Linked DNA regions of Saccharomyces cerevisiae S288C. The protein of the gene in region 2 interacts with the protein of the main gene of each other region in a biochemical or structural test. Each region holds a gene or a part of one and is shown on either strand. Other genes may lie near its edges. The genes, in order: LDB19, NPR1 and ORM1.

Evidence for each region.
Region 1: of the proteins of NPR1 (region 2) and LDB19, one has a biochemical effect on the other in vitro, tested with the Saccharomyces cerevisiae proteins (one study listed by BioGRID).
Region 3: of the proteins of NPR1 (region 2) and ORM1, one has a biochemical effect on the other in vitro, tested with the Saccharomyces cerevisiae proteins (one study listed by BioGRID).

Annotation. Positions count from the first base shown.
Region 1 is NC_001147.6:917,411-924,463, forward strand, and holds LDB19 (Ldb19p), read right to left. Parts: upstream 3,653-7,053; coding exon 1,196-3,652; downstream 1-1,195. Other genes in the region: dolichyl-phosphate-mannose-protein mannosyltransferase PMT3, read left to right, coding at 1-881; PRO2 (glutamate-5-semialdehyde dehydrogenase), read right to left, coding at 4,125-5,495; FRT1 (Frt1p), read right to left, coding at 5,822-7,053. UniProt on the Saccharomyces cerevisiae protein: May be involved in protein-linked oligosaccharide phosphorylation since the deletion reduces the negative charge of the cell surface.
Region 2 is NC_001146.8:290,316-297,088, forward strand, and holds NPR1 (serine/threonine protein kinase NPR1), read right to left. Parts: upstream 5,195-6,773; coding exon 2,822-5,194; downstream 1-2,821. Other genes in the region: ubiquitin-specific protease UBP10, read left to right, coding at 1-1,561; mitochondrial 54S ribosomal protein uL11m MRPL19, read right to left, coding at 1,878-2,354; YNL184C (uncharacterized protein), read right to left, coding at 2,242-2,568; chromatin-binding/pre-rRNA-processing protein IPI3, read right to left, coding at 5,645-6,773. UniProt on the Saccharomyces cerevisiae protein: Nutrient-regulated protein kinase that promotes the activity of at least 6 distinct transport systems for nitrogenous nutrients under conditions of nitrogen catabolite derepression.
Region 3 is NC_001139.9:557,488-562,617, forward strand, and holds ORM1 (sphingolipid homeostasis protein ORM1), read left to right. Parts: upstream 1-3,194; coding exon 3,195-3,863; downstream 3,864-5,130. Other genes in the region: YGR035W-A (uncharacterized protein), read left to right, coding at 78-299; CAX4 (dolichyldiphosphatase), read right to left, coding at 662-1,381; long-chain fatty acid transporter ACB1, read right to left, coding at 2,244-2,507. UniProt on the Saccharomyces cerevisiae protein: Component of the SPOTS complex that acts as a negative regulator of sphingolipid synthesis. Acts by inhibiting serine palmitoyltransferases (LCB1 and LCB2) activity.

The DNA.
Region 1 (7,053 bases), on a different chromosome or scaffold from region 2:
GGGAAGAAGATCCAACACTACTACACCCGCTATCCACATCTTTCCGTATTAAAAATTCTATACTGGGTTGCTATTTAGCTCAGTCAGGTAAACATTTACCAGAATGGGGTTTCAGGCAAGGTGAAGTTGTCTGTTTAAAACACGCCTCCAAAAGGGATAAGAGAACCTGGTGGAATATCGAAACACATGAAAATGAAAGATTGCCACAGGGAGAAGATTTCGTATATCCGAAGACTTCATTCTTCAGGAATTTCATGCAGTTAAATTCAGCAATGATGGCAACCAATAATGCTTTGGTACCAAACCCTGAAAAGTTTGATGGTATAGCTTCATCTGCCTGGCAATGGCCAACCTTGAACGTCGGGGTAAGATTATGCGAATGGAGTGAAAAATCTATAAAGTACTTCTTATTAGGATCTCCTGCGTCCGTCTGGCCCTCAAGCATCGCAGTTTGCGCACTGATAATACACGTTATATTCTTAACTCTGAAATGGCAGAGACAATGTGTTATCCTATCCGATCCAGTCGAACGTGACGTGTTCGTTATGGCAGCCTTTTATCCATTGCTTGCTTGGCTTTTACATTATATGCCATTCGTAGTGATGTCAAGAGTTGTATACGCTCACCACTATCTGCCCACCCTTTATTTTGCCTTAATGATCTTGTCATACTACTTCGATATGATTACCAAACGTTGGGCTACAAGAAACACTGGAAAATTTCTAAGGCTAGGAGCTTATATTGTATACGGATCAATCGTGATCGCTGGATTTTTTTATTTCTCTCCTTTTAGTTTTGGGATGGATGGTCCAGTAGATGATTACGCGTACTTGGCATGGCTACCTACGTGGCAGATTGTTGAAGATATACGTAACACATAGATATATAGAATGATCAAAAACTTTTCTTCACCACACAAAAAATGTTAATTGATGCGCGAAATATCTTTTTCGACTTATGCCTTCTTCTTTATCATAACAAAGCTATGTACCTACGACGAAATGAAGATATTAATCCAGTCCAGCCTTAAGAAAATACGAGAAAAAAAATGCTCAAGTGTTAAACAATGCCTGTATGTAGTTATCTGTGAAATGCATCAAATCATGGTCAGGGTTTGCTTATTGATCAGATTTGTAGTTTTCAGGTATCTAAGATAAAAATATATGGTAAATACCTTTAACGAATATTATAAAATCTACTGGGTTATTCTATTGGAATCTAGAAAATCGGAAAAGTTTTGTATTCTGATATCTCTTGTGCTATGTGGTGTCAACACATGTCCACGAAAAGGTACACTACCCTGGACACTAACAACACTTTCCAGTGGTGGTGACTGTACTGTGGTAAGGGATCTTTGCGAAGAGGAAGCAGGCTGGTAGTGATGTGCGGTTGGTGGTATCGTTAATTTATTTTGTGTGATCGTTACTTCCTGTACGTTAGGACCAGGTTCGAGCCCTTGGCTCTCATAGTTCCCAATATCTTCATCGCTGCCGCCCACAAAATCATCCTCTGATCTAACAGGAGTACTCATTGTTGAATAAAGTTTATTTTTGATTCCATTATTTATAGAGAGCTCGTAACATGGTGGCGAGAGCAACTCGACATCTTGGTAAATGGGAGGAACTTCTTCGTCCCAGGAGATTCCAAGTCCAGATCTTTCAGTGACTGTTAATCTGAATTGCATTCTTAAAACACGTGCTGCACCAGTGGGAACACTCACTATATTAGAGTTACTAGCACCGTTAGATGCCTTCTCCTTATTAGTACTATGGTTGGACTTATTACTATTCACCGGTGTTATATCTTCAGGCCCCATGCGCCGTACTTTCGGTGTATTTCTATTTGCAAAAATTGGAGATAATTCAGCTAAGCGTTGATCAGGATTATGAACATTCATCGTATTGTTATTAGTTTCTTTCTTGTTTTTGGAGTTTGGTTTCCGTATAGGTTGCCCATTGGCATATTGCAATGTTTCTTCTGCAACAACTATTTCCACTGCCAAGATGTGGCTTACATACAAACCTAAATTTGGATCCTGTATATCGCAAGCCACATTGATGCTGGGCTTCTTATTGCCCGTGGAAGGAGTTTGTAGTGTCGATGCATGCATTACCGGATTAGAGACGCCTGAATTAAGTCCCATACAATCTATTTCTGTAACTAGCTCAATCTTTCCATTATTGTCAAAATCGGTTTTCCATCCACTCTTCATTTCTCCCTTAGATATTATCCGAACCTCTTCCGTAAATAAACTACTGTTGTTTTTTAGCTCTTGTTGAAGTTGTTGTTGTCTTGCGCGTTGTTGCTGCATTAGTAACTCCTGACGCAAAGCGTCGTCACTGGGATGGATGAATTCGCTACCGGGTTGGTCTTCCTCATCTTCATTAACAGGATTTTCATCATCAAGTCCAACATTACCAGTTGACGCTGGACCCGAAGAATTAGGTGCTTGTTCACGACCGGGCTCGCCTGGAAGCCTTTGCGACGGCATATTTTCTAAAGAGTTTACTGCAACCCGGATTTGTGGGCCTAGTTCACCATAACGCTTAATATGACTGCGTGGCTTTTTACTTTTTTCTGACTCTTTTATTTTAACCTGCTCTTCTAACTGCCTCAATTCATGCTTGTGCACTGGACAAGCATGTGCTTTAACTCTTGTAGTTTCTTCAATTCTCCAACTCAATTTACGCATTCGCCATCTCCTATCCCCCGAAGAAACACCGTCTAATTTCATCTCCAAAGGAAAAGTAGATTTAGGATATACAACATTAGGAAGAACAGCAGCAGCAGTTAACTCTGTAGGAGGAAATACTCTTAGAGAATTCTTATCAGGCCCGCGCGGTATACTTCGAGTCACGGCGATGGGCATCGCTAGTTGCAACAACCGCTTCTTAGAAGAGCTTCCTTCTTTCCTGGGAGTAGAATGACCGGAAGAAAAGGAATTTCTATGAGGATCTATATACGTCACAACAGCGATAAGTTCGTATTTGACCTGGGTTTCAGCCGTAGCACCTAGCGATGAAGAACATGGGACAGACCCCGGTATAAGATAGGAAAATGGGTAAGAGTGGCTTCCAACAGAAAGATCCTGGGTATTACTCTGAATTTCCCAGCTTTTCATGTTTGTAATCTTTGTTTTACAGTTCATACAGGTTTGCATTGAGGAAATATTAGGCACAAAGGGTTTATGGAAATGGATCTTCTGTACCAAACTTAGTGTTACCGACGTAATGGTGATCTTGGTATAACCAGCCATTATTCTTAAATTAGCAGGCGTGGGAGAATGCGATATGGATGTAGAAGATGTTGAAGGAGAGATATTTGACGTCGACGCTGACAAGCTGGACAATCTAGATGAAAGTGCAGAACCAAATGTACTCTTTCTTTTTAGGCTTTTAGAAGTAGTCGACACATTAGATTCTGTATTCTTTAAAGATTTATCTTCAGCACTACTGTAGGGATCGACAACCGTCACAGTAAAAAGTCCACTTAGCACAGCACCTGAGGATTCCATAGCAGACCCATAAAGAACACATGGCGGTGATTCTACATCAATAGAAAGGGTTAGTGGAAGACTTTGTCCTTTTTTGTTGCTATTACTGTAGCCGTTATGATTGGACTGATGAGTAGATGTAAGACGTGAAAATGCCATGGTAAAACGTATTGTTTAGTGAAATGTATACTAAGTAGGAGTAAAAATCAGCAATTTCTGGTGTTGAAATGTGAACAACAGCGTTCTCCTCCGAAAAAGCAAGCTATAACGTTGCTCAACTTTTGATTCCGAAATCAGAAGCTTAAATAAGGAAAACTGAAAGCTAATTGGATGAAGCACACAAACTTAATCAACCTTATTATTCAAAGTATTCGGAGCCCTAGTAAAAACTGCCTATGATATGTATGAGTCGTGCTTTTCCGTCTGGTTTAATAAGTGTTCGAGTCAGCTCAAATCGCATTTTTGTCTTGAAGCTTCCGCCAAAAGAAAAAAAAAGTCGTTAATAGCGATACAAGTAAGCAATTAACTATCACACCATAGAATGAGTTGACAAGAGTACTTATTTGATGGCTTTACTGAACTATGTATACACGTCCTTCATACATGGAACTTAGCTTTATCCTAAAAATTTTTATAATGTCACAGTCTTTATATCTAAATCCTTGTGAACAAAAGCTTTGTTACCACCAGCACCAAGGTAGTCACTAGCAACCTGGCCGTCACCTCTTATTTGGTATTGATAACTCACCAGACCGTCCAAGCCAACTGGACCACGGGCGTGAATCTTAGAGGTAGAAATACCCACTTCAGCACCAAAACCGTACCTGAAACCATCGGCAAATCTAGTTGATGCATTCCAGTAAACACCAGAGGAGTCGACACCCTTCATAAATTTTTCAGCGTTTGCTTTATTTTCCGTTACAATAGCGTCGGTATGTCTCGAAGAGTGTGTATTTATATGTTGAATGGCCGATTCTGTAGATGTAACAAACTTGGCAGCCAAATCCAAGGATAAAAATTCCTTATCAAAATCTTGCTCCTCATCAGCATCAACGGTTTTGCATTGAATTGCTTCTGTCAATTTCCCTAACTCATTCAGTTTATCAAAATACGCAGTTTTCAAATCTTTTGTAGCGTGGATAGTCACTCCGCCTTCCAAAGTTAAGTTTTCCAGAACTTCCCACCACTTAGAGAATTTTGGGTTAATCAACAACGTTTCCATAGCGTTGCAACCAGCTGGGTAGTTAGTCTTTGCATCCAAACTAATTCTTTTTGCCTTAATCAAATCTGCGTCTTCATCCAAGTAAATTGAGCAGATACCATCCGCATGACCCAACACGGGAATTTTTGTAGTGTCCTTGATTTTTCTGACTAAGGCATTGGAACCACGAGGAACAACTAAGTCGATGTACTCATCTTGATCCAACAAGTCGGAAACATCCTGTCTGGTTTCGATCAATTGCACAGAGCCCACAGGAACACCAGTCTCACTTTGGAATTGTGCAATGGTGTCGTTAACGATCTTTGCCATTTCTCTGAACGTGTTCACAGACTCTTTACCACCCTTCAAAATTGCAGCATTACCAGACTTGATACTCAATGCGGTAATATTGGCAATAACTTCTGGACGGGATTCAAAGATAACTAACAAAACGCCGACTGGAGCGGTTACTTGGTACAACGTCAAGCCATCATCTAATTCCCTGGCCATTTTAACCTTGCCAACAGGGTCTTCTAGTTCGGCTACATCCTTAATACCTTGTAACATAACTTCAAATTTGTCCCCTTTAAATAGGTCGAGACGTTTCAATAAAGAATCCGCTAGGCCAGTCTCTTTGGCAACAGCTAAATCGATTTTATTCGCTTCTTCAATGGCATGCGCATTAGCCTTCAGGGCATCGTGAATTTTGTATAAAATATCTGATCTGCCCTCGTTTGAGATGGTTTTCAAAATATTCCCTGCTTTACGGGCATTTTTGGCTATTTGTTGTGAACTGGACATCTTTATATTGGTTGCCTGTGCTCCTTTTTGTTCTTACTCTTTTTACCAATACGCTTTTACTTTTTCTCTTCTTTTCTTGAAGCTTTTTGAAAAACGTCTGTCGACTTTTTTCATTTTTTGACTCATTGACCCAACGCCACAAATGAACAAAGAAATTTGGCCACTGCATCGCCTTTCCTGCCCCATTGATTCAAATGTCCATGCGCGTTGATTGATGTGTGATATATATATATATATATATGTATATAGATGTATATTATTATGTTCAGAGGTGATTTTATCTTTGTACGCGTACCATTTTTGTAAAGTGACCTTGTTTTGACTTTTTAACGAGTAAAAAAACGAGTTAACAAATTCTTGACGTAAACGATAAAGCCGCCCATCAAAAGAAATGCAATAATGTCAATGATGAAATACCTATACAGGTAGATGGATTTCGTGTTGTTCTTCGATTTATTTAACACGTTTTTCAGCTCTATCAAACTATCCATTTCCCTTAGAGAGGACTTTTGTTTATTTAATCTCTCTTGGCAAACCTCCATTCTCCTTTCCAATCCTTGTAATTGCGCTACACTTTCTTCGACTGATATCTTTAATTCATTAATAAACGCCTTATTGTCATCCTCGTCAAAGTCTGATTTCAACTTGACCAAGAATTGATTAATCACCGTGGTTCGCAAGGTGGTCATTTCGTCTAATAAAAGGGTTAACTCTCCTGATAGAAGATCATACTTTTGGATAGTTTTTTGAACGTTGTTTTCATTCTTGATTATTGTATCGTTTAAATTTCTTCTCATCTCATTCTCGATCTTCACTAGAAGTGTCGAAATATGATTTTGATAATAATTCAATTCATCAATGTTATCATTCAAATTTGAGTTGCTCTTCGAAATAGAGTTTGAGCTAGAATCAGGAGTGGCTGCGGAGCCATTATTATTGTTCACCTTCAGTACACTCTTGAACCTAGTGGAAGAATCCGCTGACTTCTGCCTATTCAGTAAATACTTAAATCCCAAGGTATCGGTGCCAGGTGCAGTGGAAGAGCCTGATGAATTCCTTGGTTTCCTCTGGTTAGTCAAATATCCTAAAGAGGGATATACACCGTTTAAACTTCTTCTATCCACATCTTCTGAATCTGATGAGGTGGATGACGTGGACGAAAAGGCTGATGACGACAAAAATGCTGGTACATTAGAACGGGAATACAGAAATGACGAAGAATCGTTGACAGCAGAACCGTCCAAATCATGATAAAACAAAGATGTGCTGGGGGAGGAGTTTACGGAAATTTGTGATTGAGAATGCATATTCCCTAATTTAATGCCGCCAGCGGTGGATGAGGGCTCAAACACTACCGACTCCCTCAACGTATCAAATGGGTCTGAATTTCCCAAAGAAGGCTGTAAAAATTGGTTAACCAATCGTTTCCTCTCATAATCAAAAGAACCAGCGGATGATCTACGTTGCGAAGAGGAGGAACCCTGTATTTGATTGAAAGCTAGCCCAGTATGACAGCTTTGGAAAACGGACATCGAACCACGACGTCCTTTACTAAGGC
Region 2 (6,773 bases):
TTTAATGGAAAATAGTACAGTGGAAGTAAATCGGTACGAACCAGTAAACAACACCAAAGAAAATGGAAACAGGAATCCAAAGGGAGAGGAGGAGGAAGAAGAGGAAGAAGAGCTGAAACATAAATCTAGGTCAATCACCCCTCCGGTTACAATATCAAATCTATCAAACTTTTACCAATTCAATGAAAATATCAATGATCGTGGTTCTTTAAACTCTACTAGAATTGTTAAAAATTGGGGCGACAAATTCACCAATTTGAAGCCTCGTGGCCTTTTGAATCATGGTGTTACTTGTTACACAAATGCTGCTGTACAGGCTATGTTACACATTCCTTCGATACAACATTATCTTTTTGATATACTAATGGGGAAATACGATAGCACCATCTCAAAAAATTCCGTTTCCTATACTTTAGCTGAAACAAGTAAAAAAATGTGGTTACCGGTCTCAAAAAACCCTAGAAAGAACGTTTCAGCTTCCTACATTAATCCAAAACATTTGATTTCCAGATTGGATGACATTAATTGTATGATGAGCGAATGGCAGCAGGAAGATTCACATGAGTACTTCATGTCTCTGATGTCAAGATTACAGGAAGATTCTGTTCCCAAGGGTCATAAACTTATAGAATCGATAATATATGACATATTCGGTGGTCTTTTAAAGCAGATCGTTACTTGCAAATCTTGTGGCAGTATATCTAAAACAGAACAACCATTTTACGATTTATCGTTGCACTTGAAAGGGAAGAAAAAACTTGATCCAAATTCTGACCTGTCGAGTGATAGCATTAACGGCACTTCAGCCACCACTTCTACCACTACCTCCAATGCTGCCACAAAACCATCTCTTTCATCCTCTTCATCTGTCAATTTAAACAATGGCTCACCATTTGCCGCTGCCAGTGATTTAAGTTCAGCCAACCGCAGATTTTCTATTGAAAAATCAATTAAAGATTTCTTCAATCCCGAATTAATCAAGGTTGACAAGGAGCAAAAGGGTTACGTTTGTGAGAAGTGTCACAAGACCACGAACGCCGTGAAGCATAGTTCAATATTAAGGGCTCCTGAAACTTTACTTGTGCATCTGAAAAAATTCAGATTCAATGGCACGTCCTCATCAAAAATGAAGCAAGCTGTTTCTTATCCTATGTTTTTAGATTTGACGGAATATTGTGAGAGTAAAGAGCTACCTGTCAAATACCAACTATTAAGCGTGGTGGTTCATGAGGGCCGCTCCCTTTCTTCAGGTCACTACATTGCCCACTGCAAGCAACCAGACGGTAGCTGGGCCACTTACGACGACGAGTATATTAATATAATATCTGAAAGGGACGTTTTAAAGGAACCCAACGCATATTATCTCCTATACACGAGGCTAACTCCAAAATCGGTTCCATTGCCATTGGCGAAATCTGCCATGGCCACTGGTAATGTTACCTCTAAATCCAAACAGGAACAGGCTGTTAACGAACCAAATAACCGCCCATTGAAGATTAATAGCAAGAAAAATAACAGAAAAAAATGGAAAAAAAATAAAAAAAGGAAGTTCACCAAATGAAAAAACTCGATATTCCTGGATTTTCCTCTTTTCATAGGCATTTTTATTAGCATTTCATTTTTATTATACCAAATCAATATATACATATAAATATCCGGTCTTTATTGACTTATAAAACAACTCTCAGTATACAGAGTTGGAGAAGCGTTTACTCAGAATAGCTTCAGTACTACCGAGCTTTGCTAACATAACGGGAGAAAGAGAATTTAAAACTTATATACATATTTACAGAATAGATCAGTAGAAAGAAGAAGGAAGGTCTGTTGAAAATTTCTCGAAATTGACGGTACTTTTTTGTCTTTTCACTACTTACAGATCAAGGTACAACCTTAATACCCATACTTTTTGCAACGCCAACTATTGATTTAACAATACCTTCCATCTCCAATAAACTATGCCTTTCATCACTCTTTTTTATCTTGGCTATTTCGTAAACGTGCTTCAGCGATAACTCTCCTAAAGCACGGGTTGGTCCCTTGGCAGGTGCACTGCCTAACATTGTCCCCACATTCGGTTGTCCATGTCCCTTGTCCATTTTAAGAGCTTTTAGCAGCAAATATCCGGTTGGTGGAGATTTCATTTCAAACGTAAATGTTCTATCAGGTTTTATTGTGATTAATACTGGAACCGGTACACCTGGCTGATAGTTTGCTGATCTTGCATTAAATTCCTTACAAAAGTCAATGGCTTTTATACCCTTGGAGCCCAATGCGGGCCCCACGGGAGGTGATGGTGCCGCTTGGCCTGCTCCTACTATTAGCTTTACTATCACGTTTTTTGCTGCCTGTGACATTATGGAGACTAATAGTTCCTCTATGGTATTCGAGAGTTCGAAAGTACAACAAACAGAAATAAATACAGAAGGTTACGCTGTCGATTTGAATGTTCACGCTTTTTTTCCTTCTTATGAGTTGTAGATTTACTGCACTTTCTAAAGCTTCTTTGCTGTGAAATTTTAGAAAAGGGAATTGTCGCCTTGGTAAGACAATTAATGTTACCCGCTTCATTATTATTAATTAGTGGCGCGATATTTTAACGAACTTTTCCATTAATTATTATCATACTAAGCTTTTACATTTTTCTGATAAAATAGTAGATTATGAACAGGAGGTCAATCTATTTAGGCTTCTATAGAACGGTAAAATATGAAATTAGTTTAACAGAAGTAAATATGACATTGTATTTTAACATATACTCAAATAGGATAAAAAAAGGTTATATACAAATGCTTGGAAAAGAAATAAAAGTGGGGACGCTTATTTATTGATTATTTTGCTTTTTCTTTTTCTTTTCTAGGCCTGCAATATGTGCTTCACTTTGATCCACTTGTGTGTGATGATGGTCTTCTCCTCTAACCACTTTGAACGATAATCCATCTTCAACCAAGTGGCACATATCAATGCTACGGATCCAAGGATCTTCCATGATTTCTTCGATATTTCCTCTGCATGCGGGCGCCAAATCAATCATACGTCCAACAATATGCTGAGTCTCTTCTGGTAATGAGTGCAACAATCTTTGTGGCCCGATATTAACATTATTAGGATCTGATACATTATTGGAAGAGCTTTCGGGTTTTTTCTTTTCTGTTGAGTGCGATTCATCGTAGGAAGGTGGATCAGGAGTTCTTGTAACCAAGCTACTTAAGGAGTCGCAATCACGTCCGGAACAAAATAGTTTGAATGAATTGTCCCTTAATTTCGGAATTTTCCATGGAAATTTCTTCAGTATCATACATGCAAAAATGATTGCAGAAGACCAAATATCTACGGGACGTGGGTCATACTTCGCAAATATACAGACTTCAGGTGCTAAATATGGATCACTTCCAACAATTCCACTTGCTTCCACAAGATTTTTTGAGAATGGATATGAAAATACCACAGCAGCACCAAAATCGATTAATTTTACAATACCTTTTTCGTTTATAACACAATTATCTAGCTTTAGATCTCTATGAGCTAAGCCGATACTATGCAAATATTGTACACCAGTAAGTATTTGTTTGAAGCAACAACAAATCTCTTCATAGGACATTTTATTACTCATTACAATAGCAAATAAATCGTATTCACAATATTCCATAACTTGGAGAATTCTATCATTTTCATACACGATTTCAATTGTTTCAATGATATTGGGATGATTCAAAGTTGTACCAATACAGTATTCTGATGTAATTTTCTTGACATAATCTCTTTTGGATTCATTTTCAAATTTAGTTCTAAACTCCTTCACTGCAAATATTTTGTTATCTGAAATTCTTTGAGCTAATTTGACAGAACCTCCTGCTCCAGCGCCTAAATCGGCACCGGTTTTGATGTACCTTTTTGAGAACGGAATTCCTGAACCGCCGTGACTATGAGAATAAATAGTATCTCCATTTCCGTTATAACTAGTGGAATATGAGTTATTCCCTGCGGCAAAATGAGACGATGAATGAGAGTGTGACGGAACGGCAATTCCGCTAGAAAGAGGTGATCCGTTCGGGATCACGTTGTTACTATTCGAGGAAAGGTTACTGTTAGAACTTTTTTTGAAGAACCTCTTTAAATCACCGATGGAAGAATGTTGTGACCTTGGAACACTTTGACTTGGAGGTAAGTGGTCATGTACAGATGAGGGGGAACCGTAAAAGTTATCAGTATAGGAACCAGTTGGCTGTCTTGATGCAGAATATATGCTGCTTTGTCTTGCGCGGATAGGCTTCGGGATAGGCGTCGAACCATTGGTAACATTGGGATTCTTAATGTTTGGAGAAGGACCATTGGAATTGGCAGAAAAAGACATGCCTGCAGAGTTAGAATTTGAAGATTCTTTTGAGTTTTTGGAAAAGAAAAAATTCCCAAGCTGTGAAGAGAATGAACCTGAACGGGATATAGATCTTGATTGAGTGGCATTTGCATTATTACTATCCATCGATGCTTTTTGGAGTTTTTGTTTGGAGATAACAAAACGTGGTTCCACGCTATCTACTTTTGGGGAGGATATAACATTTGAATCGATTGCAGAAATATTATTGGGCATACCGCCTGCATATGTTTCGAGCCACGAAGAAGACAAAGAGGAGCTGTTGCTATTCGAGCTATTGTTATCTTTGTTAGAATTTGGCACGGAGTAAGGTATACTTGATGATAAAGAAGGAATGGCCCTTCCTGAAGTATGTGACGTGGTAGATAATCTACTTGTGATTCTGTTCTGTGCAGCAAAAGAACCACCATGTGAGGAAAGTCCTGCAGTACCTTGATCGTTTATTAAGGATCCAAATCTATCTCTACTTTGTGCACTTGTGCCGTAGAATGATGCAGTGTGAGCAAAGTTTGCATTAAGGAAGCTGGAGGAAAACTGATTCCTATCGTCGAGAGAGGAACCGGCTGTTGATGATGAATCTTCCTCTGAGTATATTTGAGTAACAGTTGTGACACTGCCAGGAACTGGCACGTTAGCCCTATTACGATCACTACTGCTGCTATTACTCACGCTACCAATATGACTACTACTCTTATTCCTAGAGTGAAGGTCAAGCGATTGTGACTCGGGCGTCGTGGTCAACGTATCAGCAGAAGTTCTCGGTGATGAGTTCGAAGTTTCATTTTTTCGTTTTTCCTGTAGCAATCGAGTTAATGAAGACATAATGTTTCGTAGAGCTTTCCTTTTTTGTTTGAATGGGTATGAGCTGTTGGAAAATCAGAAATAGGAAAGAGTTAGACAAAAGTATTAATGAGTTCTGGTACAAGCCAACTAGTTTGTATGGGGTTGAAAATGACGCAAAGGAACGAGAACTCCTGTTTATTATTCTTTCAATAACAAAAGCAAGATTTTTAGTCACTGCCGATTGTTGCCACTAGGTACGCCACTGACTAATCCGTACTAACTCTATACAACTAAAGGCGGCCCATATTCTGAGATAAGCTATAAGGGTAGGAATTGTGGGATGCGTCATTGATAACGAAAAAATTCCGTAATAGATGATCAGTCAGATTGAGAATGAGATGTTTCGCACAAGTGATGAATTATATCTATCTATGCTGTATATTTTAATAACATTCCTATTTTATTGTACAAAATGCGCGACTATTCCGTTTATTGCTTGTCAAGCATCTGTTGGTGTTCCTCGTACAGCTTTTCGTGCATGTCACGTAACTCCTTGTAGGCATGAGTTAATGCTTCTATGTTGGTCTTAAGTTCTGTAATTTCCTCATCTTTAGCGGCATTGCTGTCTAAAGATGAAGTGGCGTCGATTTTATTGTCAATCACTTTTACATTGCTTGACACCTTACCGATATGTGAAAATATCGATTCTTGCGTTTTGACCTGCTCCAAATAGGCATTAAAGTCGTTAAGTGGTAATGCGAGGTTAGGATCTGTCTCTGCTTCTGGTTCTCCTATCTGATACCAAATATCGTGTAAATGGCCTTTGTTTTTACCATCAAAGATAACTCTTTGTAAGTTTGGTATCTTCATAAAATTGTGACCATTATTATTACTAGGTTGTTTGCCTTTGGATTCTCCTTCAAAAAGTAAATTTCCACGTTCGAGTCTGTAAGGGTTGGTTAAGAGATTGGTCACTTCTCCAACTGAATCCTGTGATGTAGTTAAAGTTTGGATAGTTCTAATGATTTGTTTTGAGTAAATTTCCGCAATAGAAACTTTCCCCTCCGTATCACCGATCAATAATAATGTACCATCCATTGATATTTCTAGGCATGACACATTTGAATTTAGGACATTCTCACAGACAAGTTGGCCCATTGCATATAGTGCATCCAAATCTTCATTTTCGCCGCCAGTTAGTGAGTTACGTTGCACTAGGGAAAAAACCCTACCTTTTTGAACTGTGTTTACTCCGGCGGACTGTAGCAGATTAACGATAGCATTACCCTTTAGTTTATAAAATAAATTCAATGAAAAACAACCTTCCGCAGTACCAATATAGCATGCTCTGTCAGCAGGATCCAGTACAATGGATTTGATAGAATAAGGAGTTGTAAATGTCGCAAGCAATACTGGGGTCTTACCAATACTAACGTCATTTTCGTTTGCCTTCTGCTTCTTTTTGCTGCCTATTAAACTCAAATCATAGCATCTAATGGTAGCATCTTGAGATACTGTGAAGAGTTTCGTATCAGTACATGATAAAAATTTTCCTTGACTAGAAGAAACTTGGAAATCTGTCACGGGTAGAGTATGATCGTGAAGGATACATAAAGGC
Region 3 (5,130 bases), on a different chromosome or scaffold from region 2:
ATGTTTGTTACAAGTTTTTATGTATAGATATATGTTACAACTTTTAGAAGTATTGTGGACATAACAGAGAGAAGGGAATGTTGCTATATTTATATATTTTATATATTGCCCTCAAAACTGTATCTCATCTTTTTTTCTGCAATCCTTGCTTTCGTAATCTAAGTGTGGGTGACATGCTAAATCCGCGGCTTTCCTTAAGCTTTTTCACAAACCATCTATTATGTCCAGAAGCTCCGCTGATTATCCGTGGAAAAGGGTCTTATTCTGCCGTAGGAAACTTCTTCTCGAGAAAAAAGTGAGTTCACCCGCGGCGCTCTCGTAAAACCCGAGGGCCGATTCTTTCCCTCCGTGGAACAATCGGCCCCGCGGCGTCAGAGGGTATTATCTCCGCAAGTGATAGAACTCACATTTATTCTACGTTCTGCATGGTTTTGATTATCTTCTTTTGCACGATGTCACATACTTTTTCGATTACCGTCGCTTTACACAGTAACTGTTTAAAACGAGCGTTCTTAATTAATAACTGTAGGAGAGCAGGCTTTCGGCTTTCTTTATGAGAAATAAGGACTACTCCAGCTTGCCAAGTTTTATCCAGTTACACAAACGCTCAAGATCGCCTCGCTAAAATAGATGAAAAAATAAGAAAAATGAAATGTTCAACCTAATCCCTTTTGGATTTATCATTGAAAGATCGCTGATTTATTCTTTTCCAATACGCCTCGTAATTCTCTTTCAATGTCAAAGGCGCCAGATTGTAAGAATCTGTCATGTAAAATAATCTGACAATACGTAGTTTTAAAAACCAATTGATTAAACCAAGCTCTCTTATGATGCCAACTATAAAAAAATAAAGTGATCCAGTCAGTGCCCCCACGCTGAATCCCACGATTACTTGATCTAAATTGTGGTAGTGCAAGTAAACTCTGGAAAAGCAAACGCAAAACGATAATAAAGCCAATGCACCAGAAAAAATGCATTTTTCTAAGAAGTTTAGATTCTTCCAGGAAGTGTATATCTTCAGAGAGTTATAGGTAAAACAAAACCCCATGAATTGGGAGTGTGCACTGGGCATCCCGTAACCGGATCTTATAGTGTCATTTTGGAACGACGCACCGAACGATACGGGGCGTGGCTGTTTTATTATATTCTTGATCACGTTATTGAATATTTCGTTCATCAATTGGCCAAAGGCTACAATGCAGGCTTCTAACTCTCTTGTGATGATAAACCACGACAAATAAAAAGCTAGCACTAGGATGGGCATCAGCGAGAAATATGCACTAAGGAATGATAGAAAGTCATGCGAATCATAGAGAATGTATGTGTCATCGAATGGTATAACATTTGGATTTGGATTTATTGCAGCGGCGGTACTATTCATGATATGATCCGATTCAAAACAAATTTTGATGTAGATAAAATGCCTGGTATAATGAGTGGTAGAGAAGAAAATTAGACGAAAAGAATGAGAACGAAGAAATGATTTAAAGTGATCACAGTGGCAATCACTTTCCCCTTTTTAACGCGTGTTGAGCAATCGATTGATGTCTCTACCATATGTAGCATTTTCTCAGAAGGCAAACTTTTCTTTTTCTTTCTACTTTTCCAACAAGAAATTTTAAGTTTTCCCAGAAACCCGAATTCTCCTATTTCATCCACCACGTAAGAACGGTTTTCTTCCTGGCGTAATTAAAAGCATAAAGAAAAACTGAACAAGCTCTAGATGTAGATCAGGGTATACATGGTGCGCTTCAGTAAGTGTACTGTACCACTAGTTTGGCGTCTGTCACTTGAATTGCGGATTTGTGTAGAGCAATGAAAGCGCTGCTTCTGCCGCCATCAAAAAAAACTGAGTAGTTATTAAAGCCTATGTATGACAATATAAAAATGTATACAGATCAGTCTGTATATAAATCATGAAAATATCTTTAAAAATTTCAAGAGCGTGTTTCCGCTAAACCTTGTCATATTCAACACAAATCAGTATCATTCTCGGCGTAAATTACATGCGAATCTCCCTAATTGTGATTCAATATTCCAGCGAACCCCGAGAATTTAAATAGAACAGAGTATATGCATTTATTAACAGTTATTACGCCTTGTCCCCAGGGAGAGTAGTAAGGGATATGGGCATTTATAAATGTACATAAGTCACGTTTTTGCAGCCAATAAAATATAATAATAGAATAGTAACAAGGAAAGCTAGGCCAAAACTCCTTACATGGAGCTAGTATACCCCTTTTCTAAGAGGAGTACTTGGCAATCAGTTGATCAACAAGGGCAATGTATTCCTTTTCGGCATCTTCCTGGGATTTACCTTTTAAGTTTTCCCAGGCTTCCCACTTGTAGCGGTCCTTCATGTTGAAAATACCAGGCTTTTCCTTGTCGTTGTCACCTACAGTGGCTTGCTTGTACAGAGCATACAATTCTAATAATTCATCAGTGGAGGGCTTCGTTGGTAGCTCGTTGACGGCTTTAGCTTTTTCTTCGAATAATTGGGAAACCATTTTGCTGAAAACACTAGTTTAACTAATTTTAGAGTTTTAGTCTTCCTTCTTTTGCTTCACACAGTGAAATGATGTACATAACGTACTTGCTTCCGAGACAGACCAATTGATCCAAGCTAGCTATATATATGGCGGTCATTGGGGAGTTGGCCTGGAGCTGTTGAGTTTGCGGACGTGTCAGAGAGCGCGTAGGGCCGCCAGCGCCACCTGTCTTCAGGCACCAAGGCCGTAATCTCTTCCGACGGTCATTTTTTAATGGAATGTTTCAATACGAGAGTTTGTGGCATGTAGTTTAGGAACGGATTATAGAGAATAGTCGAAATATGTTTAGTCCCTACACAAATTGCTAGACTACCTGTTTCGAGTTTCCTCTATTCCTTTGCTAACGGAGCTGCGGTATATAAACCATCGTAGACTCAAAGCCGTTACCCGACAACTATCGGGTATAGTGAAATGCCTATGTTTTCACTTTAAGACCTTAGAAAACTATCATGAGATCTCGCCTTCAGATGCAGATATTTCAGTGGATTCACGAAACAAGAAAAATTCACTGATCGATAACATCTTCCTTTGCTTGATATTCCCTTTTTGAATTTCCCTAACTACCTTTTGTTGTTTACCACATATTCTCTAAAAAGCAGAGTTATTCTTATTTTGTATTTCATTGCATTTTTATCCATTTAGTTAATGACCGAATTAGATTATCAAGGAACTGCTGAGGCGGCTTCTACCTCGTATAGTCGAAATCAAACGGACCTTAAGCCGTTTCCTTCTGCAGGCAGTGCATCTTCATCAATTAAAACGACGGAACCTGTGAAAGATCATAGAAGAAGGCGTTCTTCCAGCATAATTTCACATGTGGAACCGGAGACTTTTGAAGATGAAAATGACCAGCAACTTCTACCAAATATGAATGCTACTTGGGTAGACCAACGCGGCGCTTGGATTATTCATGTGGTCATTATCATACTGCTGAAACTATTTTATAATTTATTTCCTGGTGTTACCACAGAATGGTCGTGGACTCTGACTAATATGACATATGTTATTGGGTCCTATGTCATGTTCCATCTGATTAAGGGTACCCCTTTCGATTTCAATGGTGGTGCTTATGACAACTTGACGATGTGGGAACAAATTGACGACGAGACTTTATATACTCCTTCAAGAAAATTTTTGATTAGTGTCCCGATCGCCCTATTCTTAGTTAGTACTCATTATGCTCACTATGATTTGAAATTGTTTTCATGGAATTGTTTTTTGACAACCTTTGGTGCTGTTGTCCCAAAGTTACCTGTTACTCATAGATTAAGGATTTCTATCCCAGGTATCACAGGTCGCGCCCAAATTAGTTGAACATAGTTTATTTCAATCTTGTATCTAGATGTTTTTGCTATATTTATATTTTCTGGGCCAAATCACTAACGCTTTGAAATTTCAAAAGCCAACAACGGATTTCGGACTTCATTTATGTAAATGAAAAAGAATGTGAACAAAAATTGAAAAAATTCCATATTAATGCACCTTCTAAACCTATTTGTTGAAATTGTATTTAATTCATATAATCATATTCTATTCAAAAAGAATAACAGATAGTATTAGCACTATTTCACGTACTGCTTCTAATACTATTATCACAAAATAGACATCGGAAAACTCAAAAATAACGACAACTGCAGGACTCGAACCTGCGCGGGCAAAGCCCAAAAGATTTCTAATCTTTCGCCTTAACCACTCGGCCAAGTTGCCAATGTATACATTGCTGTTTCCTGGTTTGAAGAAGCTAATCGTGCACGTAAACAACAATCTATACTACAAGTAAAAAAATGGGGAAAAAGATGCTGAAGGTGAGATATATGTGGGTAATTAGATAATTGTTGGGATTCCATTGTTGATAAAGGCTATAATATTAGGTATACAGAATATACTAGAAGTTCTCCTCGAGGATTTAGGAATCCATAAAAGGGAATCTGCAATTCTACACAATTCTATAAATATTATTATCATCGTTTTATATGTTAATATTCATTGATCCTATTACATTATCAATCCTTGCGTTTCAGCTTCCACTAATTTAGATGACTATTTCTCATCATTTGCGTCATCTTCTAACACCGTATATGATAATATACTAGTAATGTAAATACTAGTTAGTAGATGATAGTTGATTTCTATTCCAACATACCACCCATAATGTAATAGATCTAATGAATCCATTTGTTAGTTAATAGTTTAAATGTTTTTATCGGAAGAGGTTTTGTCATCACATCAGCAATGTTCTTCTTGGTCTCGATGTAGTATACGTATAGATTATTACCTGATACTTCATCTCTAAGTCTCATTGCCTTTGTGCCAAAAAATCTGTTTCTAAATTTCTCTTCATTTGTAGACTTAATTATACTGATCGTTGATCTACTATCAGTAAGTAAGCCTTTAATAATTGGTTTCTTGTTAAGTTCTTGCACAAGGTGACTGAGGTTATTCAATAGCGGAATAGCTTCACTGACTGCGTGTATTTCTGCTTCTGTAGTTGAAGTGCATGTTAACGAAGCCTTTGTCGACTTTCCTCCAATCACTTTTCCGTTGAGTAGGAAAATGTTACCAATTTGTGACTTGTAATATG